4 linked regions of the Tamandua tetradactyla genome follow. The protein of the gene in region 2 interacts with the protein of the main gene of each other region in a pairwise test. Links are inferred from orthologs where the notes say so. Each region holds a gene or a part of one and is shown on either strand. Other genes may lie near its edges. The genes, in order: KANSL1, NECAB2, SSC5D and KLC4.

Region 1 (8,330 bases), on a different chromosome or scaffold from region 2:
TAAGCAAAAAGATTTGTTTAGATTCAGAAGATGTCTTCGATTGATCATAGGATTGGTGGGAAACATAAAATTAAGGCAGCTACATAACTATACTCTTAGGTAGTTAATAGATGGTAATTCACACAGTATGGAGCAGTGACTTCCGTTCTGTATTTCTGCCAGAGTGGCATTTGGTACAACTTCAGAGCTTACTGACCCAGGGGTCAGAGAGACTTAGAGATACATTTTTAAACATCATATAAAGTTAAAAAAGCAGACCTTCATGATCATAATACATTACTGAAAGTCAAGGTGACCATAAAATGAAATCTGATAATATGATCCCAATATCTTTGGGTTTTTGAAGGTACTAGTTATTAACAAAAGGCTAATAATCCCTTGTCTGCTTCCTAATGACCAGAGTGGCCACCAGGTCGTGGCACTAAACACTCCATCCCAAAGAGAAACACTCTGGTTCGAGGTCCTCCAATTCCTATGGGTTCAGGACTTCTGGCTGGAGCTCCAACTCTATGGGAGAATAACTGGAAAAAGTGTGTCACTTTGGCTTCTTTCATACTAATAAAATCACTCATTATCCTAAGTGCAGCTGTTAACATAAATGAAGATAAGAACTCAGTCTACATTGCCTAAAGATTTACCACAAGTCCAAATATTTAGGTTACACAGACTGCATTCTCTGATTTACCCATTGCATACATTTGGAATTCCACACACCAGATTACCAAGGAACGATCTCTATACTAGTATCTAACTCTGAGGAAAGACAAGCTGTGTCACCTGGGGAAGCTTCCGTCACTCATCTCTCTCTCCCTATCCTTCCTCCCATTTTCCTCCCTTCATGTTCTAAGCTTTGCCTTCTCCTTAGTCTTAATGGAAAGTCCTTTGACCATTTATATAGAAGGGATGGGAAGGAGGCAAGAGACTGAAGAACCATCATACCAATGAGAGCTTTTTCATCTAAAGGCCATTCTGCCCATACAGTCCAAATGAGGTTTACCTGTGAGATAAACTAGGCACAAAATGCTACCTGTGAGGAAAACAGCATAAAATCTCACGCACAGGACTAGGGAGCAGAAGCAGGAGTCCCCAACAGAGCTGTCCACATAGACCAGCATGCCTCAGAATGTTCTAATATACTATGAAGTTTCAGAATAAACAAACAGTTAATGACACATCTTTTGTAACACATGAATCAGCTACTGATTTGCAAGAGTGGGCGCACCCTAATACCTATGACTCTCAAGTACCTGTTTGAAAGTGGACCATGATGTCTAAATTGCCAACCCATCCTACTGGGACTGGAATGAAATTTTAGAACTATGTGGTCTGTCATAATTTAAAGTAAAAAGGATGAACACATCATTACAATGGAAGTTAATTTAAGAACTTCATTAATATGTTATTACCAATAATCAAGAGAAGTAGCAAATACAAAATGAGGAATAATCAATCAGTCCTAGCAAGCAAGCACAATATTAATTTTTGACAGGAGAGGAGTACCACATGAGGTGGTTGAAGAATAGCAAATTCAAGAATTAGAAAGTTCTCGATTCTAAATAAAAAATAAACAAAATGAGGCCAATAGTGGAAAAATACTGTCTTACCTTAAGAGGCATCCAAATAGCATTCATAGTGTCAGGAACAGTGCAGGCAATACCCAAAAACGAACAAGAAGGGAGTCTTAGTAATTCCCTTAGATTCACCAAGTATGAGCAGGTAGGAAAAATTTTTATTGTTTCAGGAAGATATCTGAAAGAGAGGACTTTCACTTAGATTAAAAAATGCAGAAGAATAAGCAAACAGTTTAAGCTTCCTGGGCAGAGATTTGAAGTACTATTTGCCTTACTTTTCTAAAAAGATGTACAAAACACACTTGCCTTTTGAAAGAGGGCATCTCTCTCTCTCTCTCTGTATTTATATACATACACACACATACATATACATAGTTCAGATAAAAAGAGAAATTAATATATAAAACACATTTTAGATAAAATGAAATTGCTTCTCACAGAATATAGAAAACCAAAATATAAGTGAAAAGTAATGATTATCCAGGGCATTTCATCAACATAATTAAAAAATTTAATATCCTAAAAATGACTTTTGACACATTTAACTTAGTAAATTAAAATCTCTCTGATCATTCAGATTGTCCTACATTTTATTCAGCTTAAATGTAATTTCAGAGAAGATTCTACCTGAAAAATAAAATGTATTCTTGACTAAAACATTGTCAGCAAATAAAAGACCCTTCTTCACTATAGATCATTAAAAGCAGCCCAAACAATTTAATTTTAAGGATGAGAAGGGAGGCAAGTTTGCCCGGGGTCAGGAGGATGGACTGAATGCCCTCTTGCAGGATCCTAGGCCTGAATGAAATTCCAGCTTAACCAGTTACTGCTTCACTTAAAATGGAGGCTTGCCCGAGTAGGGACAAAAATGACAGCACCCACCTTTGTAAAAATAAATTTCGAAAAATCAAAGGCTAGAGAACTCCCATTTAAAGAAAATTAAAACCTTTGGAGTGGATTTATTCTTAACTATGCGTTTGTCACTTCGGCTTGGAAGACTTGGCATCACTTTCCTTACTGCTCATCGTATTTTTTTTTTTCCTTTGGGGGTGGGAGGGGTGAGGGGAGTTTGACTCTCGACCCAAGTCGCAGTCGGGTTTAATATGCCCTCCCACGATCCCTACCTCAGAAGCATCGGGAGAGAGAGACCGGGAGTCCGAGTTCCCACCCCTCCCCCCACCTTGGACCCTTGTCCCAAACCTAAGCTCCCCCCACCCCAACCTTCTCGCAGTGGGGCGACTCGTCTTGCCTTATTCCCGTGGTTAAGGAAAGGGCGAATGGGGAGGTGGGCTCAACGTGGGGGTCGCTTTCGGCCGTTGCCCCGCTGGCCTCAAGAGGGGCGGCCCGCGGGATGCAGCTTCCCTTCCTCTCCGCGTCGGTCCGTCCCACCTCGGCTCGGCCTGGCGCCCCGGGCTCTGCTCGGTGTCCCCGGCCCCGGCCGGCCCCCGGGCAGCCAGACCCCTTGACCATTCGGCCCGCGGCGCGCCGCCCAGGCCTGCGGGTGGACGCGGGGTGAGGGTCCCTGTGCCCACACACGCGTCCCCGCTCCCCCAGTCCTGCCGCTGCCAGGGCCCTCGGCGGCGACCGTTCCCCGGGCCGCTCGGCCCCCACCTCCAGGCCGGGTCGCCACGTCGGGCTCTCCCCGTCGGGGCCACCTCCCTTTCCCCACCATCACCCCCACCCACTCGTGCCCCTACCCCCCGGGGTACCAGTGCCAACGGCAGCTCCCCCAGCCCGGGACCTACCTGCACGGCTCAACCAAGCCTAGAAGTGGGGGCGGGGAATCTTCCGCCCTCCTCCGTCTCTCATTGGCCCTTCCGGGGCCCATCATGAGCACCATTGGCTGATGGCGGGTGTCCATCAGAGCGGCGGGGCGGGACGGAAGGAGGAGAGGGATGCTGATGCCTCGGCGTCTCTGTCTCTGTGTATCTCGCTGTCTCTGTCTCGGCCTTTGGAAACCAGAGGCGTTTGGACGAGAGGACAGGAAGGGGCCCTGAGATGGAGGGAACAGACGGAGGGAATACTGGCAGCGCTTCACACCAGTCGGCCAGTCGGAACCCCCTACCCAAGTCCCCTTTAGGTCCTCTTCTCCATCACCCCCAGCTCCTGCTCCTCACCCCTGTAGGTTTTTCATCCAGGAAGCTACGTGATGAAAACTCGAGGCCGGAAGGGAGAGATTTAATGTATGGGGGAGATTTAATATATGTATGTAAATATATACACACATATATATATTTATATAGATATCGATATTATGGCTATAAAGATACATGCGTACGTGTGTGTAGTCAACCAGGTATAAGGTCATGATAGCCTGAAGAAGAAAGGGCACACATTTCAGAGACAGAGAAGAACTTGAGCTATAGCCAACATAAAAAGGAATAAAAAAAAATCAATCAAAGAGCTGATAACAGTGGTTCTCTCCTGGGAGGGGAGATGAAGCCTCGGGAGACCAAGTGGGAGAAAGACTTACGTCTCACATATCACCTTAGTTATTCTTTTATATCTTTTGATTTTTGTACCATTCACGAAAATTGCCAATTCAAAGAAAATTAATTGGTTAAAAATTTCAAATAATTCTAAGGTCAAAAAACTAGGGAAATAGACAAGATGGTTGTCCAGGAAATTTAGGAAAATGTGCAGCTTTGGGGAGGAGTCTTAGTTTTTAATACTGCAGTTCAAGATACCAGTGGTAAAACCAAACAGAGGTGACTCAGAGGCAGTTTAGGGTTATGGGATTTATGAGCAGATGAACAGACTGGATTCAAAAAGGTTTAGGATTCTCCACCTAAGTATAGTGGTTGATGATATGCTGAAGGATAAATTCCCCCCAAAAGTGTAAAGACAGCTGCATTTAAAGTTAAGAGTCTGAAAAAGAATCAGAAAGAGGGTCAGTCAAGTAAAAGAAACAATATTGAAAACGAATGAAAGTTAAGGGAGGGAGGGTATCCAGAAAAATAGGCGTGAGGCTTACTTTGGGCACGCTCTTTAGGCAACCATGTGACAGTAAGAATGAAAGCCAAGAAAACATCCATAAAGCAGGGTTTTTAATTTTGTCCATGCATGGCAAAGCATGTGGACCCCTTCTCAGAGTAATGTTTTTAAAGGAATTCGAAGGAAACCAATCATATTGAGATACAATTACTAAAATATTTTAAAAGTGTGATATAATAATGTATGTGCTTTTATTAATGCATTAAATAAGACCTAGCAGAGAGTCTAATGACTGCCATAATTTTGAGCTAGTGAATGAGCATAAATGGTATTTCAAGATATCTGCAACTGTGATATAATATGAAAATATTTGTGCTTTCTCTTGGAGACAAGATCACTGGTCCTGTTAATGCTCCTGTGATATCTTGTCTACATTCATGACTGAAGGAAATGCTAACTTTCTGTTAGACTTTAGTAAATTCGTGGTCTCCCAAATCTGTATACCACAGATTAAAGAACCCTACCCTAAGAAGATCATGTTCCCCAATCTCCACATGTCCACAGCGGCCTGGAACTTGTCTTCGCCCCTCATCCTTGTTCCTCTCTTCCTCTTCCCCACAAGCTCCAAGCACTCTTCACTTCCCAGTCCTGAATGCAGATGCCTGACATCCCTGTGACACAGGGGACAAGGGATCATGTGGAAGGATTGCAAGAAAGATAGAAACACATTGGCTTCCAAAGAAAAAAGAGAAAACTATGAGGTATATTCAGATCAGAGATGATGGGGAAAATGAGCCCAGGATAGGATATCATTCATTCCCAAGAAGGAAAACAAATTGTAAAAAGAAAACATCTTTATCAGTTATGAATTTTTTCTATGAGTTTATTAATTCTGCTTAGAAACACCTTCCATCAATCTCCTTATTTCATATACCTGTAAAATGGGGTGAAAAATAGTACCTACCTCTTAGAGTTGTGCCAATTAAAATGAGTGAATTCATATAATGGATTTAAAACACTGTCTGGCACAAGCTAAACACACAATTTTTAACAATCATTATTATTATATTTGGCATCTTGTATTGTAGAGCATTCATGAAAATGCTGGTATGATTATCCACATTAATGTCACGTACAATAACAGATTAAAAGCGATAAGAGGGTTAGCACAAAACACTGTTTTTCATTTAAATGCTTCAAAATTAGAACACTCCATTTCTTCCGGTGACATTTTCATTCCTCTAGGGAGAATATCCATGCTTCTTTAAAAGGATTGTAAACTCAAAAAGAACTTTTATTATTCATATTACAAAGGGCTAATTTCAATAATGTTGTATATGACTTTCTCCTACAAATAATAAATAAAGACCAGCAAATCCTTTTACACAGGTGGCAGTATTAACTGGTACAGCCATTTTGGTACAATCTAATAAAATTTAAGATATGCATACCCTAGGTCCCAGCAGTCCCACTACTAGATACATATTCTAAGGGAATGCATAGTTTTAAATATCAGGATTACTGTCAAGAATATTCACAGCAATGTTTTTCCTTATTACCTAAAACTGGAACTTTCCCAAATGCCTACCAAACATAAAATGGATCAATTGTGCTATATTTGTACAAAGAAAATTAACAAATTATGGTTATGTTCAACAACATGGATGAATTTTTACAAAGGTAACATTGAACACGCACAAAAGCAAACTATGAAAAATATGTATAGTATGTTTCCACTGATATAAACTTCAAAAGCAAGCAAAACTATATTATTTAGGGATAGGTGGTAAAATTATAAGAAAAAGCAAGGAAGTGAACACCATAAAAGTCAGGAGAACCAGTAGGGGTAGAGGGGTTTGTGTTTGACGGGTCTTGAGGTGGAGGGGGTGAGGGGTAGGGGGCTGTTCTACAGGGCTGGCAATATTCTATTTTTTCACCAGGGTGTTGAATACACAAGTATTTTTTCTATAACTTTTTATGTACAAAAAAAGTTTTATATACTTTTATGTATATATGTTAAATTTCACAATAAAATGCTAAATAATAATTTTTTTAATGTTTAGAAAAATGGACAAAGGATATGATGGAATTTAATTTTTTTTTCATTTAATTTTTTTAACCTGGGTTGGCCATCGCCACAAGTAAAGGACGTGACAGTAGAAAGGAAAGAAAGAAAGAGACGACGAAGAAACAACAGTACAAGCAGCTTAGGAGGAAAAACACGAAAAGAGCTGTAGACATCCCGGTCTGGTAAAGAAAAGAAGCATAGCAGGAGAGCAAGGAAAAAGCAAGTCTGTCAGTTCACACCGCAATTGAGGAGGGGGTGCACCGTTTCTGGAAGTACTGCAATACCAGGTCGATGAGTGGAGTGGACGGAGCAAGCTCCTATTCCATCTCCCAGCTCCAAAAATCCATTTAATATATTGTCCTCGGATAGAGGACGTATCAGACATTAAACTGATAAGAACAGATACTACACTTGATCTTAGCCAAAAGGCCGAGACGCGATATATGATGGAATTTAACAAAAAAAAAATATGAATGACTCAAATAAAAGATGCTCAACTTCGCTAAAAGACATACATGTGAAACTCCACTGAGAAACTTTTTTTTCCATCTAAGGTCACAAAGATAAAGTTTGCCAACACATTATGTTGGCAAGGCAGTTGGGGAAATAGGCATTTTTGTAAATTGCTGGTGAAAATATAAATTGTTACAACATCTCTGGAGGACAATTTGACAGTAGCCATCAAAATTATAAATGCAGATGCCCTTTAATTCAGCAATTCCACCTCTAAGAGTTTATTCATTCCTCAAATATGTATTAAGCACCTACCATGTGATAGGTAACGTTGTTATGCCTTGAAGTTTATCCTACTGACATACTCTCTGAAAAGTCTGGACACACGAGGATGTTTACTTCATTATCATCACAGAGTTGTGCATGGGGAAGAAGGCTTAAATCTCAACGCAGAATATAATTAAGATTATGTCAGAGCGTTTAAATAAAATGAAAAAGTATAATATTTTCCCTGCTGCCAAATGTTTAGATATCCTGTATATACACAGTTAACAGGTTTGGTTTTTAACAAACAATGTAAGCAAAATATGGGGAAAATAATACCTAAATGCCCTTCATTAAAAGACTGGTTAAATAAATTATAGTTTGACCCCCCACTCCATCACCAGGGTGGGCAGCACGGGCTTTGAGACCTGTGCAATTACGCAGGCCCCTGTGCTCAGAAGGGACCCCGGCTTGGTTCAATGTTCAGCTTGAAAATCTTTCCTGAAAATTCTTAACAATGTTATTTTTGAACTTGTCAGATGGGACATTGTGTGTGAGTAGAGGAGATCCAAGCAATTAGAATGTCACCATTCCTTGCCACCCCATTTAACTACAGCGTTTGAGATGCCGGGAAAGCACAGAATATTGGTGGACCCGTGATAGTCTGGAAATTGTGCAAGATTCAAAGTCAGTGCGAGGTAAGCTGGTCCATCAATCACTGAGTAACCCGGATGCTGACTGCTCCCAGAGGCGGTGCTTTCCCCACTTGCTTCCAAAGCTGAAAGACGGTGGCGAGCTAAGATACTTAAAAGGACCAAGGAACCGTGTCATCTCCTTTTTTCACTCATGTTATCTTCCTAACTTAGCCAGCCACTTATGAAATGATGACATAAAGGGAAAAGAAAGGACAACCCACAGTTCTTGCAGTCTTTCTTTACAAATAAGTAAGCTGAAGGTAGGGAGGATTGGCAGAATCTGCACCAGTCAAGAAGCGAAATCAGAACAGTTGGGTTTGTTTTGTGCAGTATTTCCACTGTTCT
Region 2 (7,739 bases):
AATGTTAATTACAGTAGAGAAACTTGAAGGTTGAGAAACAGGAAGACAACTCACCCAGCCCCACACTTGTCCCTAGCACTATCACATTTGGGTATATCTCCTCCCCATCTTGTTTCCTACTCCATCTCTGGCCATGCTGCCCACCTGTGGGCCCTGGAGAAAGAGTCATCTTGTTGCATAAAGGAATTCCAGCCCCTGCTCACCCTGGGGGACACGGTGGAGGGCGGTGGATGTGCCCTCATGAGAAGCTGTCCCAGGTGTCGCCACCATGCTGGCATGTTTCCTTGTATTAGGGCTGCCCTTTCTGTCCTGGGGGCTGTGACAGGGCCCTAGGGCCTCTTTCGCAACTCAGTGTCCAGCTCTGCAGGGCTTCACTGTCTGTCTCCTGAACACAAGGAATCTCTGACCCTAACATTTTGATAGGAAAACATCCAGGCTTGTGTGATGATGTGCTAACAGGCAGACGGGAACTTAAACTTCATGGACGCACATGCCCTTTTATATCTTACCTTTAAACTTCAACATCACATCCTAAGCATTTCACTGGTGACTGGGCAATGATTGCAACTGTCTGTTGACACGGCCACACAAGACTCCCAAGGGTGCACGGGCACCCTGTCTCCACTGAATACCTCACTGCATGCCGGGCCATGTGCTCAGACATCAGGGCCAAGAAGCATGCTCCCTTGGCGCTGTCCGGTTATGGAATTTTTAGGTTCTTCCCAATTTGTGGTTACCATAAATAACCCCATGGGTAACACCTTCTTAGGATAGTTATCCAGAGAAATAAGTTCATTTGCAGAGTTCAGGTTCCAGTAGCAGAGTGACCGAGGTGGGTTGGCCACAGTGGACCTGGCCTGAGTTTACCCTACACTGTGGCATTTCCCAGATGTTGTGTTGCATGTTGCATGTTATTCCACATGCAGTGAGCTCATCCTTAGCTGTTGCTCCACACACTGGGGAAAGTAACTTGCCCTATGTCTTGGTGCTGGGTGGAAGGAGGAGCTGGGATTGTCCCAAAGCCTCGAACTCAACCACTGGCTGCATGGGACCCTGCAGCCATTGCCCTCAGAAAGAGTGGCAATATTATAACAACAATAATCATAAACTGCCACCATTCTTATGATGCAGGCTGGGCACATTGCTAAGTGCTTTACATGGAGTATCTTAAAAATAAACTGGTTATTTGAATTGAAGCACAGCCCACGTCTAGAAAAGTACACAGCTCACCTGTGTACAGGTGGATGGAGAAAGCCACCCAGACCCCAACGCCCCTCCCTTCCCCTTCCCATCTGCCAGCCCATTCCTTCTCCCCAGAGGAAACCACTAATGACGTCCACCTCCATAGATCAGCTTTCCCTGGTTCTGCCCTTGATAAAAACAGACTCATCCCCTATTTACCCAGACTGCTAGTTAACCCTTTTGAGGTAACAACACTGGCAAGACCTATGTGTCACTGGCTCCCACCACATTCCATTCTCAGCACTTTATATGTAGTCTTCCCAGCACCCTCATGAAGAACGCACTGCCACCATCATCCTCATTGCACATGTGGGGAAACTGAGGCACAAAGCCCACCAGGGCAAAGCCGGGATTTGAACCCGGGCAGTCTGCTTCTGGAGTCCGCTGGCCCTCTCAAGCCCACCCTGCACCTCCGGCCTCTTGGGGTCGGGGTCAGGGCCCGCAATGGCTCCATTTTACCGAAAAGGAGCCTGAGACTCTGGGCAGCTGAACCTCTGGGCAAGGCCTGCAGCTGGCGCGTGGTGCAGCTGCTGTCTGAGCTGCAGGTCCTGCCCCTGTCCCTGCACCACCTATCCCCTGCCACGCCCCAGGAGGCTCCCTGACACCCCCTCCCCTCCTGCGTCCTTTCCCGCAGGGGTCTGCGCAACAGCCGGGCCACAGCCGGGGACATCGCCCATTACTACAGGGACTACGTGACCAAAAAGGGTCTGGGCCGGAGCTTCGTGTCGGGCGCCGTGGTCACGGCAGTGCGGTGGGGGGCGCCCCAGCCCGGCAGCTCCGGGGCCCAGGACCCCAGCCCCCTCTTCCAGGTGAGCGGCTTCCTGGCCACCAAGGAGCAGAGCCGGCAGCCCTTCTCCCTGTGCGCCCGCAACGTGGTCCTGGCCACAGGCACATCCGACAGCCCCGCCCGGCTGGACATCCCCGGGGAGGGCCTGCCTTTCGTCCACCACGAGCTGGCGGCCCTGGAGGCGGCCACGCGGGCGGGCGCGGTGACCCCGGCCTCGGACCCCGTCCTCATCGTGGGCGCCGGGCTGTCGGCGGCCGACGCCATCCTCTACGCCCGCCACTACGGCGTCCCCGTGATCCACGCCTTCCGCCGGCCTGTGGACGACCCTGGCCTGGTGTTCAACCAGCTGCCCAAGATGCTGTACCCTGAGTACCACAAGGTGCACCAGATGATGCGGGAGCAGTCCATCCTGTCCCCCAGCCCCTACGGGGGCTACCTCAGCCTCCCCCAGCACCAGCTGCTGCTCTGCAAGGAGGACCGCCAGGCCGTGTTCCGCGACCCCGCCGGCCACCAGAAGGTCTTCGAGGTCTCGCTGGTGCTGGTCCTGATCGGCTCCCACCCAGACCTCTCCTTCCTCCCCGGGGGCGGCGCCGACCTCGCTGTGGACCCCGACCAGCCGCTGAGCGCCAAGCGCAACCCCGTGGACGTGGACCCCTTCACCTACCAGAGCAGCCGCCAGGAGGGCCTGTACGCCATGGGGCCGCTGGCCGGGGACAACTTTGTGCGCTTCGTGCAGGGCGGGGCCCTGGCCGTGGCCAGCTCCCTGCAGAGAAAGGAGACCCGGAAGCCACCCTAGTGCGGGGCCCTTGCACCCTCGCACCTAGGCCCTGAAGAGGAGGGGAGATGACCCCAGCCCTGCCGGGCGCAGGGCTCCTCCGAAGACGCCCTGGGGAGCAGAAGACGCCTCGGCAAGCAGGAGTGGCGATCCCAGGCTGTCCCAGACTCCCGCCAAGGCCCAAGATGCAACGGTGGGCACAGGCCGGGGCAGGCCCAGACCCACGATTTGGGGTGAAAGCTGCCGGCATCAGCTGGGCTCCGACAGCCTTGTCCAGCTCCCCAGGGCCAGCTGTCACCCAGCCGGGAGGATTCCAGGCCCTGCTCCTTCCAGGTCCCAAATAAAACCAGCGCCTGCCTCCACTCGTGTCTGAGGACTCTGTTTGGGGTGGGGTCCAGGGCCCTGGGGCCCAGCACTGGGAGCTGGAAGGAAGCACCGGGCTGTGTGGGTGATTCCCTGGGTGAGGGCCATGGGCTGGGGGACCACAAAAGAGCAGGTACAAGGGCAGCTGTGTTAGAGAAGCAGGAGGAGAACTAGGACAGGAGTGGTCTGCTGTGTGGGGGGCGTGGTTCACAGACCCTGCCCACCGCACCAACCTTTTCCCTGCCCCCACTCCATTGTAGCAACACTGTCTCCATTCAGCCCATGCTGGAGCTTGCCACAGGGCCTTTGCACAGGCTTTTCTCATCTCTCTTTAATTTCTTCTCTTCCTTTGAATCTCTCCGGATAAGGACCACTTCCTCCAGGAAGCCTCTGCTGACAAGCCCCTCACACAGCAAGGCAACCCGTCTCCCCCTCCCCCATGGCCCTCAGTCCCCCTCCCCCCACTTCATAGCAGTTTTAATTGCCCATTCCAGTGACTGCCTCCACCCCATTGGATATAAGCTCCAGGAAGCCAACGCCCTGCCTGTTCTGTCCAGCATGAGATGGCTGGGCACGGGCCCTGGCACCTAGTAGGCGCTCCTTAACTATACCTTGAGATGGATGGATGGACAGATAGACAGAGTGTGCGGTAAAGAGGGTATTCTGGCGTGGAGACTGGTTCTGGGGCGTTGTGTAATTGGACGGGGGGACCTGAGAAGATCCGGGAGGGCAAGGGTGGGTGCCCGCTGGAGTGATGCGGGAGCCTGGGGCGCGTGGGCGCCGATCCCCGCAGCCGGCGCCGGCAGAGGGCGCTCGGGGCTCGCCGGACACCCGCGGCGGCGGCGGCGCCACCGGGCGGGGGCGGCGGTGGATGGGTGGTGGGTGGGAGGGGGTAGTTACCTCCAGGTGGCGGGGGTGGGGGGGACAGACTGTCGAGGGGTGTAGCCCGGCGGTACGTCCCTCCCCCAGCGCCCAGATCCCCACCAACCCCGCGCAGTCCAGCCGGGGTCCAGCCTCCAGGCCCCGCGCCCTGGTTGGGGGTGGGGCGGTGGACACGGGCACGTGGCTGGGGTCCGGGCGGGGCACCCCCTCCCGTCCCCCCTCCCGTCCCCCCCTCGCTGGCGCCGGCCCGTCCCCGCGGTGTCCGCGGCCGTGGGGGCCGAGGGAGGGAGGGCGGGGCGCGCGGGCGGGCGGGCTGGCGGCGCCGGGGAGGGGGTCGCGCGGGGGCGGGCCGCGGCCGGGCGGGGGTCGGCGGGCTTCCGGGCGGCGGCGGCGGCGGCGGCGGGCGCGGCGCGATGTGCGAGCGGGCGGCGCGCCTGTGCAGGGCCGGCGCGCACAGGCTGCTCCGGGAGCCGCCGCCGCAGGGCCGGGCGCTGGGCGGGCTGCTGCGCTGGGTGGGCGCCAGGATGGGCGAGCCCCGGACGCCGCTGGCCCCCGTCGTCCCGGTCGCGGACCCCGGCCCCGGCCCCGCCTCGCCGCGCGGGGGCACCGCCGTCATCCTGGACGTGAGTACGCGCCGCCAGGGACCCCCGGCGGGAGCCTCACGGCGGCCCTGCCCCGTCCCGGCGGGACCCCCAGGCCCCTTCTCTCTGAGCAGGGGACCCCCGGCCCATCGCCCTCGGTCGCCCGGAGCAGGACCTTCTTCACCCGCTCCCGCCGTCTCCCGGAACGCGAGCCCCCAGCCCCTCCACGTCCCGGGCCGCTCCCTTCCCCGGACCCCCCTCGACTTCTCGCTGTCCCTGTGTCAGGACCTCCGGGGCCCCTGGACCGGGCCGCCGTCCCCTTACTTTTGTCTAGCCAAGCGCCCATTCTTTCCCTAGCCCTGCCCCCCACCCTATACCCCTGTCCCTTCCCGACCCGGAGCCCCTGACAGCTGCCAGCCCCTCCTTCTCCTTCATTCCCATCCAAGTTGCTACTTTTGTAAGCCCCCACCCCCACCCCCAGCAACCTCCCGCCCCAGCCTCTCTTCTTCCTTCCTCTCCACCCCGAAGCCCTGTGTTCCTATTCCCAGATGAGAGACCCTTTTCCTCCAGCCCCTCTTTGAAAATGAAGCCCCCTCCTCACCTCCTGCCTCCCCCTCTCCTTTCCAGAGGATTCGAAGCACCCCCACTGCCCTGGGCTCCTCTGGACTTCTCCCCCATTCCACCCCCCCACTCCCTTCACCGTTCCCTGTCTCCCACCCGGTCTAGTTCACTTCATGGACCCCAGACTCATCCCTTCACCCACCCGCACCCCGCCATCCGCTCAGGGACCCACACTGCACCCCTCTGAGGAGCTTGCCCCACCTTCCCACCCACCCCCTGCCCTGAGAGGGAGGGTTCTTGTGGGTGGATGGCATGGGGGTGGAAGACTTCTCCCTGCAGAGGGGCTCGGAGGTGGAGGGGCTTCAGCCCCCTCCCTCCACACCTTGCCTTGACAGCGTGGGGGTGCAGGTGTGCGTGCCCCAGTGAGGGTCCCGTGTGTGTGTGTGTGTGTGTGTGTGTGTGTGTGTGTGTGTGTGTGTGGCTTTGGGGACGGGGGTTGGGAGTGCCTGTGAGAGTGTGTTGTGGGTTTCTGGGAGAGTTGTGTCTCTGTGAGTGTGTGCATGGTGGTGTGTGCATGTGTGTACAGCGGATCCCTGCGAGGGCGGGGAGCCTGGGTTTCCCCTCTCCCTCTCTCCCTCTCCTTCTCCCTCCTCTGCTCTCTCCTGGAACTGGAGCTGGGTCCGCGGCGAAAGGGCTGGCCAGCGCGGGGGGGTGCAGGGCCCTGAGCGCTTGTGGCACCTGTGGGCTCGCTGCAGAGTTGGTGGCCGCAGACCCATGCGGGCTCTTCCCGGGAATCCCATGCGGCCCCATCCCTGGGTCCTCTCCTCTGAGGGCGATGTGGGATGGGGGGTGCTCTGGAGGGCTCTGAGCTTCCATCTCCTTGTCTGTGAAATGGGGGAGGGGGCCGGGAACCCCCAAGTGCCTGAGCACATTCCTGGAGCTGACATGTCGGCTGCGTCCCTGGGTTTGTTTGGCCAATGGCGCCAGGCTCAGGGGAGGCTCTGGGGATCCCCAGGTTGGGACCCCAGCCTTGGGGGTGTGCCCAGTCAGGAGGAGGGCGATGGCATGCCCAGGCTGGGCTCTGAGGAGGGGCTGGGGTGGTCTGATAACTGCCCCCTTTTCTGCCCCAGCCACAGTGGTTCCTGTCGGGGAGCCAGGCTCAGGATTCTCCTAAAGGGTAGGGGGGTGGGGACAGGGCAGGAGCTGGCTCCCTAGGGGGTCTGGGGGCGTGTTTAGGAAGCCTTCCCTGAGCTGCTGCCTAGCTCTGACCACTTCTGGGGCCTGATAAGGACCAGTGGCCCCTACCCCCACTGCTTACAGGGAGGTGGGATGGGGAGGGCAACTCTCCTCTGCTCCAGGGCCACAAGCCTCCCCCCACCCTTTGTCAGTGCCCCTTAGCTGGCCCCACCCAGACCACCCCATGTCTCAGAAAAACTTGGGGTGCCTTGGGCAGGACATTGCCCCTCCATCCTCCTTGCTAAAATAAATCAGTTCAACTATGTGGGGTCCAGTCTGAACCCCAGATCCTTCTCTTTTATAAGCACACAAATCCCCCAAGTGCCTGTTTAAAATGCAAGTTCTGATTCTGAGTCTGTGTGGGGCCCTGAGATTCAGCATTTTTAACAAGCTCCAGGTGATGCTTCAGAGACTGGTCCTTGAACTCGCCCCTTTGTATAGCGCTGTCCTAGTGCACAGGTTTCAACATTGACTGCACCTGGGAAGCTTTAGAAATGCTGATACCTGGGCCCAACTGGAGACAGGCTGATTTCATTGTTCTGGGGTGTGGCCTGAGGGTTTTAAAAGCTCCCCGGGTGATTGTGGCATATGGGAGAAAGGGAGAAATTGCTGGGTCAGCTGCCTGTTGGGGGTTCCAGCCTGACCTTGATGGACACGGAGCAGCTCTGCCCCACGTGTGTGCAGGTGTGTGCATGGCACTGGGAAGGATGCGGGAGACAGCGTCCTCTGGTCCAGCCTCGCCCAGCTCAGGAGAGGTCCCCTGAGAAGAGAGTTGAGGCCGGCGTTTGGGCTGCCCTTCCCCCCTTCCCTGCTGGGTACACCAGGCGCCACCTTCCTAGCTCCTGACAGCCTGCTTCTCCCTGCACCCCACCTGATAAACAGCCGAGCCCTGACCCGTGGCGAGTCCAGCCGCTCCCTGGGCCTTGCCCCTCCCTTAGGTGCCCCTATTCACACTTGATTCACCCTCCCGGAGAAAACTGGGGCTCCCGAGGGCCTCAGGGTGTGTGGTGGTGGAAGGTGTGCCCGTGGGATGCTAATTCTGAGCTGGGTTGTTTGTGACTGGGCGTGTGTCAGTGGGTGAAGTGCATGGATGATGTGCGCACACCTGTGTGTGCACGCGTGTGTGTCGGCGTGGCTGTGGGCAGCTGGCAGCGCAGAAGGGAGTGTGGGCGGCGGCTTCCGCGGCCGGCTGCTGGGAGAAACACCCCTCCCCAGGGCCCAGCCCGGGGGCTCCTCCTGGGGGGCGAGGGGAGGCTCAGCTTCCCCAGGCCTGGAGCTGCTCCTGGCGGAGGAGTGGGGCGGGGCACCGGGT
Region 3 (7,673 bases), about 74 Mb from region 2:
CCCTAAGGGTGTCACCAAGGTAGGCTCCTGACTTGCAAGCTCTGTCCAACTTCGTCCCTGGGGGAGCCCTACGCCCTGGTTTCAGGGGAAGGGCCACGGCAGGTAGCCAGACCCAGTGTCGGGGGAGCACCAGGACCTGAGGCTCAGTCGTCAATGTCCCCACCCCTAGGGGAGCAGAAGGAGTAGAAGCTGGCCCACTGGGCAGCGGGGTGGCTGGGGTGGCCTGAGAGACGGTCCCCTGACCGGTTAGGGGGGCTGGGGGAGCACTGGGCACAGAGGGACCTGGTCAGGTGGCTGCGGGCGGGCATGACTCCTGCGAGCTGCAGGACCTTTGCGCGCAGGGACACACGGACCCGGCTCATGGCCTTGCTGGGATGGCACGATGGCCGGGAGAAGGAACATGCTCATTGGTCTGCACGAAACCTTCTCCCGTGGCACTGTGGGGAACACCATGGCTCGGGGTCACTGGCCAAGGCCATGGGACGGGGCCAAGAGCTGAGCCCAATTCCAAAACCCTTGCTCCCTCCAGGAGGCTGTCGGTAACTGCAGGGAAGTCGGGGGGGCTGGAGCGCTCCCTAGGAGGGGTGTGATGATTCTGAGCTGGGACCCAAGCCCTTGGGAAGGCGGGAGGACAGCCTCAGGTATGCCCGTGGCCCCCGCCCCACGTACCCGTGCAGACCAGCCCTGCGTCCTCGCTGTGGTCACAGTTGCTCCGACCCCAGGGACTCCGGGGACAGTCACGTAGGGCCTGCTCTCCTCCGCCGCACCCCACGTCATCCATCCACACGGGCCCTGAGCCGTAGCCAAACCGGGCACCGCCCGGGGCGGCCAGCGCCCCCCCGCAGCCCAGCTCCCGGCAGGCCACGGTGGCATCGCGCAGGTCCCAGCCATCGTCACACACCGTCCCCCAGCGCCCCGCGTGCCACACCTCCAGCCGCCCGGCGCAGCCGTGGGGACCCGAGACCAGGCGCAGCCGCTCTAGGGGGGACAGGGAGGGGACGAGGTGCCTCATCTGCGCACAGCATGGGACACGCAGGTTCAAGCCCTTCACCTGGGGAAACTGAGGCCTGAGCTGAATGGGGGCTCCTGTTAGGGGGAGGGAGCAGCGACTGGGTGGGGCAGGACACCCGGGTCCCGGGACAGGCAGAGGGTGGGGGTGAGTGAGTGGGAGACGGCGCCTGACTCCCTGAACCCCCGGGGTGCGGGCAGGGGCATCCCGGGAAGCAGACTGAGAAGAGGGGGCCCTGCTCCCCTTGGTCTGGGCTCTGGGCCTAGGATGCGTGCACCCAGCATCGCGTGGGGGTGGGGGCCTCACCGTGACGGGGGGCCCCGGTCACCAGCGAAGGGGCGCGGGTGGACTTGGCCTGCTTGGGGGGCCGGGGGCTCTTCTTCCGCAGGCCACTCTGGGGATCCCCGGCCGGCCGGGGCGCTGGGAGAGAGACAGCCATGAGGGGGGTGCCGGGCGGCTGCTCTCCCGTCCCCCGGAATGGCGGTGCTGGCCAGGCTCCAGGTGGCAGCAGACGGTCCCAGTGGCCTTGCCCAAGGACTACCCCCCCCCCCCCGCAGTTTGGATGGGGAACCCAGGGACCCCAAGTTCAAAGGGGGGAGAGAGCTGGGGGTGCCACGGGCTGCCTCATCCTCACCGTGAGTCTCAGGGGGCACCTCAGACACCAGATTGAAACCCCCAGAGGGCCCGGGCCAGGGGTCCCCTGCCAAGAGGGAAGTGGAGTCGTCCCTGGAGCCGGCCACACGCTGCCCTGTGGGGCACAAGAGAAGCCCTGAAGGCGCGGGGTGGGGGGTAGGAGGTCACTGGGGTCCTGGGGAGAGGGATAGGGCTGGACCCGCGTGTCTGGGTCCTCGAGGGCTCAGGAGCCCCTGTAAGCTGGGGGTCCCTGAGCCCCAGGAGGGCCCGGCACTGAGGGGTGGCCTCCCGGCCCCTGCGAGCCCCTCACCTGCGCACACGACGCCCGCGTCCTCCTCGTGGGAGCAGATGTGTGCCTTCCAGCCGCGGTGCGGGCACAGGCCCAGTCGCGCCTCGCTGCCCCGGCAGGCCAGCTCGCTCAGCCACACGGGACCCTCGCCCTCCCCGAAGAAGGCGCCCCCGGGGGCGGCCAGCGCCCCCCCGCAGCCCAGCTCCCGGCAGGCCACGGCAGCATCGCGCAGGTCCCAGGCATCGTCGCACACCGAGCCCCAGCGCCCCGCGTGCCACACCTCCAGGCGCCCCGCACAGCCGTGGGGGCCGTCGGCCAGGCGCAGCCGCTCTGCAGGGGGACGGAGGAGAGGCTCGGACCCCAGGAGGGCCCCCACCCCGGCCCTGGGGCTGCACTGGTCACAAGTGGATGCAAACTCAGGGGATGATTGGGAGGGCAGTGCTGAGGGGCCCCGGCTCCCGTAGCAGGCTAGAGGCAGGGCCCCTGGGCTCCAGGCGGAGGACGCAGGGGTCAGAGCACCAGCCCTTGGGCTCTGGGGACATGGGGTGGCACAGGGGGAGGGGCTCGGAAACTCACCGACAGCCTGGATCCCCATCAGAGCGGCTGGAAGGGAGGGTGGGTGGGCCCGAGTGAGGGGTGCCTCCAGGGGTCCCTGTCTCCAGGACAGGTCCCTTGCCCTGCATGCCCTGGCACGCACGCGTGCACACACACGTGCACACCCAGTTCCCACGCTTCTTAACCAGAAACCCGCTGCCGGGAAGCAGGACTCTGGGCAGAGGCGGACGGGGTTGGGGGTCGGGCAGGGGTTGCATGCAGGCCCTGAGATGGGTGGGGCTTGAGGTCCTTTGTGTTCCCCTATGGGGACAGCTGAAGATCAGACACTGGGTGACCCCTGCACAGGGTCAGGGTGGGGGAAGAGGAAAGGGGCATGTCGCTTGGGACCCTGAGAGGGTGGGGCTGGGACTGCGCTCGGGTGGTGGGCAGGGAGGACGGGCTGTCCTCATGTCCCCAAGCACCAAGGGCTGGGGTCGCAGAAGCCTGAACCTCTAAAGTTGATGAGCCAAGGGGTCGGAGGGCTGGGGTCCGGGCCCCTGAGTCCTCAGGGAGAACGGTCACTCACCGACGAGGCAGGCCAAGACCCTCATGCTTGCAGACAGAGTCCAGGGCGGGGACGGGGTGAAAGGGGGAGAGCACGGGCGAGAGAGGCGGCAGCGGTCACAGGGAGGGAAGCGCCTGGACTGGGGAGGGGCAGGCAGGGCCTGGACGCGCTGCCAGGAGGAGAGAGAGGCTGCCGAGGAGGCAAGGAGGCAGCAGCGGGGGCTGAGGCAGGGAAGAGGGGGGGGTAGCAGCGGACGGGAGGGTGTCCAAGCCAGGGCCAGGCTCTGGATGTCGGGGGCGGCGGACTGCAGGGAACGGACAGGACAGGGGTGGAAGTGGAGGCGGCACAGAGACCCTCCTCCTGCCCCCTCTCCTGTCCAGCCAGGGAGGAGTGGGCTGACCACGGTAGCGGGGGGGTCAAGTTCTGACTCAAATTAACCACTGGGGCTGGGGGCTGGGTTCATGTGGGGCTCCTGGTACAGTGAGAGGGCTTACAGCCAGACAGCAGGAAGGACTTCCGGATTAGGAAAGGAGACAGAACCACTCTACCCCCCCAGTCAATCTGACTGCAAAGCCCTCCCTCCGTCTGAGTGGTCCCAGAGGATGAGAAAAATGGGAGGGGGCGGGAGGGCTGAGAGTTAAGACTTGGATGGGGGAGCAGCACCCTCCACTCTCTAGCTCTCACTCATATACTCAGACCCGCTCTCTGCACCAGCAGCTGTGAGGCGGAAAAAATTCGGTAATGGGGCTTGTGAGTCAGAAGGGCGGACCGAGGCTGCTGTGAGCTCATCACCCCCTTCTCCCAGGCCCTCCCTCCCACACCAATTAATGTCAACTTGGGGAAGGGAGGAGCCAGACGGAGGGGGGATGGGGGGATCAGAGAGAGACTGGAAAAGGCATCAAAGAGAGGGACAGACGCACAGCAATCTCAGGCTTTATTAACAAATGCCTTAAAAACCAGATGGGTCTGGAGGAACGGGGGCGGGCGGGGGCTCCTGGCCCTCTCAGCTCTCCAGCTCCTCTGCCCAGGGGCCCGCAGCAGCCCTGCACCCACCTCTCGGCCCCAGAGCCCCACTTCCCAGTGCATGCCCTCTACTGGCAGCCCCAGCCCATTCCCAGGAAGGCCTTCAAGACCTAACTCTTGGGAGCCCTCTTTGCTCGGCGTCCTGCTCCACAAACATCTCTCCCAGGCCTGAAGCACAAACAGAGCTTTGCAGACAAATGGACCAGGAGATTTCTTAGTGCAGAAAGAACTGAGGGTTGGACTGGCTGAGCTCTGGGGTCCCCCTAGGAATGGGAAGGAAAAGAGGGATTCCACTCTGAGGGGCTCAAACGCTACATGCTCGACACTGCAGATGTCAGGCAGGCGGCGGTGGGTCCCTTCCCCTCAGTGGGCCTTAGGGTTCTGAGTCCTGGGTGGGTTGGGGATTTGCTGAGGGACCACTCACCCTCCCCCAAAGGGCTGTGGTGAAGGGAGCAACTGGCCCAAGCCCAGCTCTCAGGCCGGTTGGAGTCACAAGTCTTTGCTGAACTCTCTCACCAACATGTACCCCATGTAGCCCCAGCCCCCCTCAGCCTGGTAGCCGCAGCCCTCCAGCATCCCTGCCACCCCCCAAGCTGCCACAGCCACTGGGACCACAAGCTGGGCCTGGGGCTCCCCCATGCCACCTGCCCAGGCCTGGGCTCGGGATTCAGCGAAGGCCAGCAGCCTCCTGCCCACACCCCGGCGGCGGTGCCAGCGGGAGACAGAGAGACGGGTGACCTGGGCCCCGCCTCCCGCATGTGGGTGGGGGGCCAGAGCCAGGACCCCGCACACATCACCAGAACTCTGGACTGCTACCCAGGGGCCCCCCAGGCTGCCTGGAGGAGGCAGTGAGCCCCACCGGGCCCTCAGGCCCATCTTCACGGCAGCCACTGCCAGGAACACGGGCAAGAGGAGGGCCAGGGCGAAGGAGGCCAGGATGAAGCGCAGACCGCTGCTGGCTGCCGCCAGGAGGAGCAGGGCTGGCGGCCGCGTCAAAGCATGCAGGGCCACACGATTTTCCATGTCCTTCACGCCGGCCTGCAGGTGGGAGGGGTGGTCAGAGGCAGGGACAGAGGCAGTGGGCAGCAGCAGCCGGTAGGAGGACTGACTGACAAGAAGGGAAGGCAGGTGGTAGGTCTGTGGTGGAGGGACAGGCAGGGATCACATCTGCTCTGTTCACAGAATTCTGTGCACTGGGTGTTAGATGGGTGAGTGAAGGAATGAGCAAATGAATGGATGAGTGAATGAATGAATGGACAAACAAGTGAGTTAGTGAATGAGTGAATGAACAAGTGATGAATGAATGGATGGGCAAGAGTATAAATGAATGAATGAGTGAGTGAATGAATTGCCAAATAAGTGCCTGAATGAGTGAACAAATAGATGAGTTGTGAGAATGGGTGAGTGAGTGAGTGAATAAATGAGTGAGTGAGCCAGGCAGTGAAAAGATGAGTGAATTAGTGAGTGAGCGAGTTGTTGAATGAACAAATGAGAGTGTTGAATGCAGGGGTTAATTAGGGAATGAATGAGTGAATTAGTGAATAATGCATGAGTGAACTGGTGAACACATGAATGAGTAAATGAATAAACAAACAAGTGAATGAATGTGGAGCATTAATGATTGAGTGAGCAAATGATAACAGTGAATGAATGAATGGCCAAGTGAGTGCCTGAATGAGCAAATCATGAATAAGCAAATCTATGAATGAGTGACTTAATGAATAGATAAGTGAGAATGGATTAATGAATAAATGAATAAGTGAAAGCATGAATGAATGAATGAGCTAGGGACTGAAAAAGTGAGGAAGGGAATGGGTAATGAGTGAATGAATGAATAAATGAAGAGTGGATTAACAAATGAATAAGCCACTGAATGGATGAACAAATGAAGTAGTGAATGAATGAATGAAATGAAAAAGGGGGTGAGTGAGTGGGTGGGTGAACTGGGCGCCGCCCCCACGGCAATCCAGGCCCATTGGTGGGCACCAGGGACGTGACCCCGGAGGGGTCTCAGGGCATCCTCCTCCAGGCAGCGAGTGCTCGGTCCCAAGGGGGCCCGGTGGGGGTGTCCGGGCCTAAGGCGGGCCCCTGGAGATGGCAGGAGGGGGGGGCCACGGCCGGGCCGAGCAGGCTGGAAGCCAGGAGCCCCGGGACGGCAGTGGGTGCCGCGGCCGGGGTAGCTGAGACCTGGGGAGGGCGAAGGCGAGAGGGACGGGGCGCGCGCGGCGGGGTGGGAGGGGAAGGCCGGGCGGCAGGGGCTGGCCCCGGCCTGCACCCGCTCGGGCTCTCACCTTCAGCATCTCCAGCACCAGGGCCTTCTCCTCCTCCCTCATCTCCCGCACCGACAGGTGGCCGGGGGCCATGGCAGCCCCGGCCCGTGCCCGGCAGGACAACGGTGGGGCCTGCGGGAAACGCGCAGTCAGCGGGAACCGGGGGTCACCGGCGCCAGCTCCCACATCGGCCGCCGCGACGCGACCAGCCCTTCCCGGCGCGCGCCGCGGGAGCGAGGCCCTGCAGGGCCGTCCAGGGGGTCGCGGCGGCCCGGGGCGGGGGCAGGGCGGCGGGGTCGGGAAGGGTCGCGGGCGGAAGTGACGCGCGCCTCGCGCCGCGGGGGAACGCCTGCACCCGCCTTAGCGCCCGCGGCCCAGCGTCCCGGCGGGGGTCCCGGGCGAACCGGCCGCGGGCTGGAGCGGGGGTGGCTGCACACGGCCGAGGGTGCCGGGGAAGGAGCGGGGACGGCCCTCCTCTGCGCACTCCGCGTCCCCACGCCCCGTTGCTAGGCGACCCGGGCGCGGAGCTGGAGTTGAGCGCCGAGCCGGGGTGGGGACGCGGCGCCCGGGTTTGCACTTACCCGCGCCGGGGCCCCCGCACTTGGCGGCCCGAGCCGGGCGGCTCTGTCCGGGACCGTCCACCCCAGCCCACCGGGCGCCGGGGCCCGCGGCGCCCTTAGAGATAAGTGCCCACCCACGCCCGTTGTTCAAATGAGGGCGGGGCGACTTCAAACACAGGCGTCCTTCTTAAGGACGGGAAGCGGCCCCCAGAGAAGACTGGCCCCAAAAGTCACAGGTGCAAGACCGAAGACTCCAGGGGCCCAGGCCACTGCTGTGACCGTGACCTCGCCCCTCCCCCCTCCCTCTCCTCTCCCCCCTCCCTCTCCTCTCCCCGCCAAAGCAAACAAAGGAGAGAAGGTTCTGAGTCTTTATTAACAAAGCCAGCCTACAATCCACTCCCGCCCGCCCGAACACGAGCCGGGGGGTACCAGCGGGTCTCCTCAAAAAGTGTGCACCAGCTGGACTGCCGGGAGAGTCTGCACAATCTGGATGGAGGGCAGGCCCGACTGCGCCACGCCTCCAGCCCCAGCGGGGACCACTTGTACCATTTGGGAGGTGGGACTGACGGGGAGGCCGGTGGGGCCAGTGCCTGGGCCAGGCGGGGGAGGGGCCAGCAGCTGCAGAGTGGCCGGGCCTCCCCCCAGGCTGCTGCTCTCCATTAGCTCTGGGGCTTGAGCGCTGCGGATGATGAGGAGTTTCTGTCCTGGCGGGCCAGGGGCTGGGGGCTCGGCCAGCCCAGGAGGGAGGGTCTCTACCTCCTGCACACAGAGCCGGGTCTGCTCCCCATCG
Region 4 (7,449 bases), on a different chromosome or scaffold from region 2:
ATGTAATATAGCCTTGTACCTGCAGCTATATTATAATCTCAAGAAGGCAGGAATTCTCTTTTATAGTTCTTTACATTTCCCCTATGCACCTCTCCTTGCATTGTAAATACAGCACAAAGCCATATAAATGCCTGTTGAGGAGGGTTAAATTTCACACTTTTTTTTTTTAATTTCACACATTTTGAGAGCAAACTTTAGGAGGATCTTGCTCATCTGGGCTGTGCTTTCCCTAATTGTAACACTTAGGCCTCTGGATTACAATTGTCCAGGTGCTTGTCTGACTCCACCCTCCGCCCACACAAACCTATAATTGTGAGAGCAGGGACTAGCCTGCCTCATTCACTGTTGTATCTCCAGCAAAGTGCCCAGTGCCCAGTACGTAATAGACATTTAATTAAATGTAGATTGAATGAGTGAATACTGTTTCCCCCTTTCTGTCATGTCAGGACTGACAAAGGAATTCTCCCTGATGGGAAGAGGTTGGGCAGAGCTGCTGGTTCCCTCAGATGATGGGTCAATTGCCCTCATGTTTGTGGTGACTCCCAGCTGCCCATCCCCAGCCAGCCCTGCCTGCTCACCGTGGTGTGCCCATCCTCATCATACTGCCGCAGCTGCCCCAGGAACTCCAAGTGCTTCTTTTCCTCCTCCAGCTGAGCCACGGCCTGTTCACTGCGCTGCAGCCGCTGCTGGGTGCCTGCCAACTCGTCCCGGAGCCACTGGTTCTCCTGACACAGCCGCCGTACCTGAGCCCGCAGTTTCTGTTTCTCCGACTCCACTGTGCTGAGGTGGCTGGCTAGAGCTAGCATCACCTGGATGGGCATATCTAGTGAGCGCCAGCCTCTGGATGAGACTGCTCAAGGGCAAACAGGAGGAAAGCCTACTGGGAGGCAGCAAGACTGGCAGAGGCACAAACGGGCCAAGGGGTGTAGATGATGCTAGGGTGTGTAACAGTGGCCCTACTTTCAACATAAATACCCTGAATCCAATTTCTCACCACCTCCACTGCCACCACTCTGGACCAAGCTGTATTGCTTTTTTCTCCCAATTCGAATGTAAGCTATAAGACAGCAAAGATTTGTGGCTATCGGGTTCACTGATAAATCTCCAGTGACCAGAAAATGTCTGACATATAGGAAAGACTTAACAAATACTTACTGAACAAATGAACGAATGCAAGCATCTAGAATAAGGTGATTCCAATTGGCCCCAAACCTCCCCTCAGACTCTAGTCTGATACTTGCTCCTCTGTTCACTTTGGTTTGCATGGCACCACCTCTACCATCTCACCTGGGCCTCACTTAGCCCCAGCTCAATATTTTCCATGGAATGGCGCAGCTGCCGGGCCTTCTCATGCACCAGCCCTTCCTCATGGCCTCCCTGCTGCAGACACTCGATGGTTTGGGATAGGCTTTGCAACACAGCCTGGTGTTCACTGTGTAGGGCCTCCAGCCCCTGGGTCACCAGCCGAGTGCTCCCTAGGATCTCCTCCTGGCTCAGCCGATGCCCTGCAGGCTCATCCCGCTGGCCCAACACCAGGCCCGACATCCTTGCCAGGGAGTCCTTATCTGGGCTAGAGACAAAAACAGAATTCAGCTAGGGCAAGGGAGAACAAGAGAGGCTGAACTCTCCTTGGTTAGAGGGTAGCAGGGATCCAGGTACAAGCACGAGAGTATGGGTGACCCTCTGGCTTAGTCGGAGAGGGAGAGAGAAACCAGTGGGGAGGGAGCTTACAACACTAATCACAAAGCTATGGATGTGGGCAAAGACAGAGGGAGGAGGGAGGAATTGAGTTAGATGGAGAAAGACCAGAAGGAATGAAGATGTTTAGAACTAAAAGGGTTATGGACTTAGGAGCATTGCAGAAAGGGAGTTGGAGAGAGCTTGGGTTAGGAAAAAGAATCAGCAGGTGAGACACAGCATTACAGGAATCACAGAGGTATTTGGGAGGGCTGCAAACAGGGTTAGAATAGACAGGAGACATACAGAAAATAGTTCAGAGCTTCTGATAAAAGGGAAAGAATAGATATCAAAGTTAAATCATGGAAGAAAATTAAAAGAAGAAAACAGGAGCCTTCATATCTGAGAACTCAGGAGAAAGGACCCCAGAAGGTTCAAGGTCCTCTGGCTGTGTCACCCATGGAGCAAGACCTGCATCTCCAAAATTGGTCAGTTCTTTATCTTTCCCCATTCGCCTCCAACCCATACTTGCCACCCTCTCAAAATGGTCTTGTTTCTCAGCATTGAAATCCTCTTACCTGTATACAGAACTTCACTGCGGAGCTCAGGTTCGAGCCCGGAAGAAACTGTTCAGCAGCCAGGGATTCAGAAGGACCTGCCCTGCCCAAAGTCCAGAAGTCCAGGGTTCCCGCCCCCTCTCTCACCACTCATAGCCACCCAGAGGACAGGACATAGAGCCCCTCCCAGGGCAAACACGTTACCCTTGCCTACAGGTCTTCAAACACAACAATATCCCTCCCCCTTCCCCAGGACAGCCTCCCACCCCAGCCCTGGAGAACTACTTTCTCCCAAGAAGGGAGCGAGGGAGAGATCTGATCAGAGACCTAAAGAGAGGGGAGTATTTGGGAAAGGGTGAGGAGGAAGACCTGATCTTTCCTGGCCCAGCCACTTCCATGGCTTTGTTCCCCGGAGGCCAGGTTGGAGGAACTCTCTTGTCTCTGTCACAGTCACCTACTAACAGACTCTGAGAAGAGTCACCTTAGTTGCCTCCCAGTTGCCTGATGGTTCAGGGAAGAATGGCAGGTCTGCTGAGCGGCTGCGGGGTCACAGAGAAACGCGGCGCTGGGAATTGGTCTCCTGACTTGGGAATGGGGTTGAGGAGTGTCCCAGGCTGTTGACCAGTCCTAGGGCCCAGGGTGGGGGTAAGAGGAGATGGGCGGGGGCGGGGGGGGGGTAGTTCGAGTGGATGGCTGAGGTCTGCGTCGCGGGCTAGGACCCCACGGCCAGACAATCTCGAGGTCAGTGAGTCAGTTGGTCGCTCAGGGGGCGGGGCAGGCCTTCTGTCCGTCTGTCTGGATGCCGAGGGGCGGGGAAGAATCGGGGTGGGCGGAGTTTTGGAGCCGGTCTGGAATCGTATGAGGTCGGTGAGGGGGTTTGTTCATCTGTCCAGGAGTGCGGGAATATGATATGGCGGGGCCCTCCACACTGTGCCCAATAGTTAACTCTAAGACTCACCCGCAGTCTCTCGGTCTGGCTGCCGCCCTGGCCGGCACTGCCCCTTTAAATCCATCATGGCTGCCTCTCGAGGCAATTGTTTTGACGGCTCCGAGGGGCGGGGCCTGTTCCCCCGTCACAAGACATCGGAGGCGCCAGAGGATTGGCTCTGGCTCTCGGAGGAAAGGAGATGTGTATCCGGCTTGGTCTCCTCTTCTCTGCCCCCTTCTTTTGCGTCATTAGACATCGACGGCGCCGGGAACTGTTGGTGTCACCCAGGAGCGCGGCGCGGCCTGGCTACAGGTGAGAGTGGCGTACGGACTCCTGTGGATTCTGACCTCCCCTATGGCCCTACGGGCTCTGACCCGTACTCTGGGCTCCCTGAGCCTTTCGCCAGCGCCCGCCGCCACTCCCATCCCTTTCCCGAGCCTGCTCCCCGCCGCCCAGGTAATCTGCTACACCGGGAAATGAGGCTGTTTCTGTTCTGGCCTCTCGGGAGGGAGAAGCCTGGGATGGGAGATGGGGGATGCGAATCTGGCCAGGAGTCGCGCCGGCCGGTGACGTTGGATAAGTCACTCATCCTTAGCTTTCCCTTTTGTAAGATCGTGTTGCCCTATAGTGCCGCAGGTGTTTTTCAGACAAGATACTGGAGGCAAAAGCGCTTTGCAGATCTCCTATTGTACGATTTCAAAAATAAGTATTTACTGAGTGCCTACTATAAGCCAGGCATAAGTAATATTTATGAGCTTAAAATAAATGAACTGACAATCACTCTGTAAGTGTAGTTTTTACTGTTCCTATTTTACAGATAAGAAAACTGATAGCAGTCAAGGGTCACGCACCAAGTAGTGGAGCTAGCCAGTCTAATGTCAGAGCCTCAGCTTTTAACCATTATGCTACAAGGATGAGTTATTGCTGAGATCAGAGAAAGCAGGATAAGATACCAAGAATAAAGACCTCAGGTGAAAGTATCAGGGGGTCACTAGTGGGCTACGGGAATGAACTGGTGAGGCACAGGAAAGAGAGGTTGTAAACTTGCTCATCTGGAGTTATCAGCTGTGTATTTGGCAGATGGAAACACAAAATTAAAAACTAGACCAACCTAATCTTCAGTGTTGGGAGTCAGCATTGAAGACAAATGATCCCGCCACTCCATTTATATGTGAAAATTCCCAGAAACATAACATAGATGGAAAAATGGGATCAGTGGTGATGATCATATATGTTTCCTGGAGAAGAAGAGTTTTATGCCATATTTGGAAAGATATGCCTCAAGGGAAGAACATTCATTGAAGAAATACTTCAGAGGTGAAAATGTATTAAAGGAGGAGAGGCAAACAACACACATACATCTGAATAAACATTCTGCACTGGTATCTGTGCATATTGATGGGTGGTATGTTTGGACAGCTGGTTTGGGGCACTTTCAGGAACAAGTAGGCTACAAGCTAAAAATGGTCTGTGTCCTGTCCCTTGGTTCTCTGATGCTTCTCCTTCAATTAGCTTTCCTAGTTAAAGAGCTTTCTCTTTATCCCTAGATAATAAGCAATGCCTTCCTCCAGTCACCCTCTGCCTTGATGTTGCCCCCCTGCCGCCCAATCCTTACTTCTGTGACCCTCAATGCCAAGCTTGAATCCTGGAAGAGTCGTACCAAGTACACCATTACACCAGTGAAGATGAGAAAGTCTGGGGGCCGAGACCACACAGGTGGGAGTGAGGGCAAGAGGATTTAAGCAATAAAGAAGAAAAACATGATAGGACCCTAAGCAAGTATAGTTGTAAACTTATACCTTGTGGAACAGAGAAATGCAATCAAAAAGCATTTATTGGACTCCTTCAGCATGTAGAATGTATGTTGGAGTCAGAGTGGGATACAAAGCAACAGACAAGGTGGTCTGTACTTCTAAAGACAATCTAGATAAAGAAAACTAGCCATACACAGGAAATGCCATGACATTTTTCTTTACACCATTTGAAACTTTACAACAGTTGGAATTGTTGAGCACTGTTTTCATGTCTCAGTAAACGTACTGAATGTAGTAATTTGATGAGATTTTACACAATTTCAATATTTAATATCTTCCCTAATATGCTATGTTTTCATTTTTTTACTTTTCTTTGTTATATTTACCAAACTCCATGTAGGTACTTCCCCCCACTCCCCCTTACCCCAATATGCTGTGCAAATCTTTTTTTTTATTCAATTTCTACTTCTGCCATAATGTTGGGAAGCACTGCTATTGGCCAAAGGGTGGGCCTGTTCCCAGTACTGGAAGCTGAATTAGTCTGACCTGGTTCATGTCCCCAAACTGTCCTGACCACAGGCCGCATTCGAGTGCATGGCATTGGTGGAGGCCACAAGCAACGCTATCGCATGATTGATTTTCTGCGTTTCCGGCCTGAGAATGAGAGCAAGCCAGGACCTTTTGAGGAGAAGGTCATCAACGTCCGATATGATCCCTGTAGGCAAGTTTGAGATATGGGGCAATGATGGTATATCTGACTGGCTGCTCTTTGGCTTCTCAGAAGACACAGAGCTGCCTTGATGGCCTGCTCAACCATCCCTTACCATTGAACAGGTCAGCAGACATAGCTCTGGTAGCTGGAGGCAGCCGGAAACGCTGGATCATTGCCACAGAAAATATGCAGGCTGGAGATATAATCCTGAACTCTGATCACATTGGACGGATGGCAGGTGAGGAATGGTTGCCAGATGCATGTAGGCTGGGAGGATGCGGGAATTCTTGTGCTGATGAAATTCCATCTTTTAGTTGCTGCTCGAGAAGGGGATGCACATCCTCTTGGGGCCTTGCCTGTGGGGACCCTCATCAACAACGTGGAGAGTGAGCCAGGCCGGGGAGCCCAATATATTCGAGCTGCAGGTATGGAAAGAGATGCTGCCTGGCTCCCTACAATTTGGAAGGCCAAGACCTGTGATCACAATTCTCTGAACCCATAGGCCATTGACAGAAAGAAGGGGAAAACAAGGAAAATGAGGATGTGCTTATATTTTGACCTAAAACATTATATGCGTCCTGTTTCAGTGTATCTGCTCCTAAAAGACAGCCAGAAGTATGTGGGGTATGGCCCCTGTGTGAACCAACCCCTCCACCTCATCCTTTTTGAAGGGTGGCAAAGCTGCCTTCTCCCTTTTCCAGGTACATGTGGTGTACTGCTGAGGAAGGTGAATGGAACAGCAATCATCCAGCTGCCCTCTAAGAGGCAGATGCAGGTGTGTATGGGAAGGACCAGCGAAGGAGGAATTTTTCATATGTACCTTTTCTGTCCAGGGATGGCTCCCAGATGTTTTATGCTAGGAACTGCCTCAAGCTGGGTCTGCCCTTTTCTGCTACGTGATTTGGCATGCAAGAGTCCATGCCCTCAACATTATGAGACTCTTTCCTCCCTCTGTTCATTGTCCTCCATCTGTTTTCTTTGTCAGGTGCTTGAAACGTGTGTGGCAACAGTGGGCCGAGTATCCAATGTAGATCATAACAAACGGATCATAGGCAAGGCTGGGCGGAACCGCTGGCTGGGCAAGAGGCCTAATAGCGGGCTATGGCACCGCAAGGGGGGCTGGGCTGGCCGAAAGATTCGGCCTCTACCCCCCATGAAGAGTTATGTGAAGTTGCCATCTGCTGCTGCCCAAAGCTGATAATTGATATCCCTGGAATCTAATAAAGTGGTCTCCCTCACCTATTTTTATCTGTTGTTTTTATTGGAGGGGAGGGTATGGACTGGACCAGGGGAGAAAAAGACAGAAGCGTTGGGTGAATAGAAGGAAAACGACCAATTGTTGCAAAGACTGGGGCTTCCCCCCGAGTTCCTTTATATGCAGGGGAGGATGGGGGAATAAACGATCTCCGAGGTCTTCCCCAGTTCTGACTTGCGAGAACGGGGAAGGGACTTCCGGCGGCAGGAGGGAGGACAAAAAGGAAGAGGAAAGGGCGGCGCGGAGGAGGAGGAGGTTCCGTGCGTCGCCGAGGTGGCACTCGCGGCCCCGCCCGGACGCTGTCCTCCCAAGGCCCCTCATTTTCCGCTAGACCCGCGGAAATGGTCCTCGGCTCCGGGCGGGCAGCGAAGCCCCGGAAACTGGGCGAGTGGCGCTGCTGGCCGCGGCCAGGCCCCGCCCCATCTCTGCAGCCGCCGATCCCAGCGCGCGGGTGATGACACTCGCCGGGCACCAGGGCACTGGATCCGCGCGCCACGCCCCCTGCCCGCGGAGGCACGCCCCCTCCCTCCTCGACCCTCTCGGGGGGCCCAGGCGGGGCCCAAATC

What was found.
Region 1: the proteins of NECAB2 (region 2) and KANSL1 interact in binary tests that used the Homo sapiens proteins (3 or more experiments, as listed by UniProt). The two-hybrid records come from large-scale screens. The link is inferred for Tamandua tetradactyla from reciprocal best matches to the Homo sapiens genes NECAB2 and KANSL1.
Region 3: the proteins of NECAB2 (region 2) and SSC5D interact in binary tests that used the Homo sapiens proteins (3 or more experiments, as listed by UniProt). The two-hybrid records come from large-scale screens. The link is inferred for Tamandua tetradactyla from reciprocal best matches to the Homo sapiens genes NECAB2 and SSC5D.
Region 4: the proteins of NECAB2 (region 2) and KLC4 interact in binary tests that used the Homo sapiens proteins (3 or more experiments, as listed by UniProt). The two-hybrid records come from large-scale screens. The link is inferred for Tamandua tetradactyla from reciprocal best matches to the Homo sapiens genes NECAB2 and KLC4.

The regions. Positions count from the first base shown.
Region 1 is NC_135332.1:20,449,442-20,457,771, reverse strand, and holds the start of KANSL1 (KAT8 regulatory NSL complex subunit 1), read right to left. Parts: upstream 3,392-8,330; 5' UTR 3,317-3,391; intron 2,960-3,316; exon of another isoform or gene 2,821-2,959; intron 1,750-2,820; 5' UTR 1,605-1,749; intron 1-1,604. UniProt on the Homo sapiens protein: Non-catalytic component of the NSL histone acetyltransferase complex, a multiprotein complex that mediates histone H4 acetylation at 'Lys-5'- and 'Lys-8' (H4K5ac and H4K8ac) at transcription start sites and promotes transcription initiation.
Region 2 is NC_135342.1:78,661,875-78,669,613, forward strand, and holds the start of NECAB2 (N-terminal EF-hand calcium-binding protein 2), read left to right. Parts: upstream 1-4,462; coding exon 4,463-4,672; intron 4,673-7,739. Other genes in the region: OSGIN1 (oxidative stress-induced growth inhibitor 1), read left to right, coding at 1,877-2,825. UniProt on the Homo sapiens protein: May act as a signaling scaffold protein that senses intracellular calcium.
Region 3 is NC_135342.1:4,243,660-4,251,332, forward strand, and holds the start of SSC5D (soluble scavenger receptor cysteine-rich domain-containing protein SSC5D), read right to left. Parts: upstream 3,154-7,673; 5' UTR 3,077-3,153; coding exon 3,052-3,076; intron 2,535-3,051; coding exon 2,508-2,534; intron 2,262-2,507; coding exon 1,953-2,261; intron 1,758-1,952; coding exon 1,644-1,757; intron 1,430-1,643; coding exon 1,316-1,429; intron 979-1,315; coding exon 670-978; intron 1-669. Other genes in the region: NAT14 (putative N-acetyltransferase 14), read right to left, coding at 4,543-5,091, 6,345-6,416.
Region 4 is NC_135331.1:100,636,050-100,643,498, reverse strand, and holds the start of KLC4 (kinesin light chain 4), read right to left. Parts: upstream 3,251-7,449; coding exon 3,193-3,250; exon of another isoform or gene 3,125-3,192; intron 2,976-3,124; exon of another isoform or gene 2,903-2,975; intron 2,894-2,902; exon of another isoform or gene 2,774-2,893; coding exon 2,716-2,773; exon of another isoform or gene 2,633-2,715; coding exon of another isoform or gene 2,604-2,632; exon of another isoform or gene 2,256-2,603; intron 1,571-2,255; coding exon 1,288-1,570; intron 810-1,287; coding exon 579-809; intron 1-578. Other genes in the region: MRPL2 (large ribosomal subunit protein uL2m), read left to right, coding at 3,249-3,618, 5,496-5,637, 5,751-5,866, 5,943-6,053, 6,330-6,403, 6,614-6,826.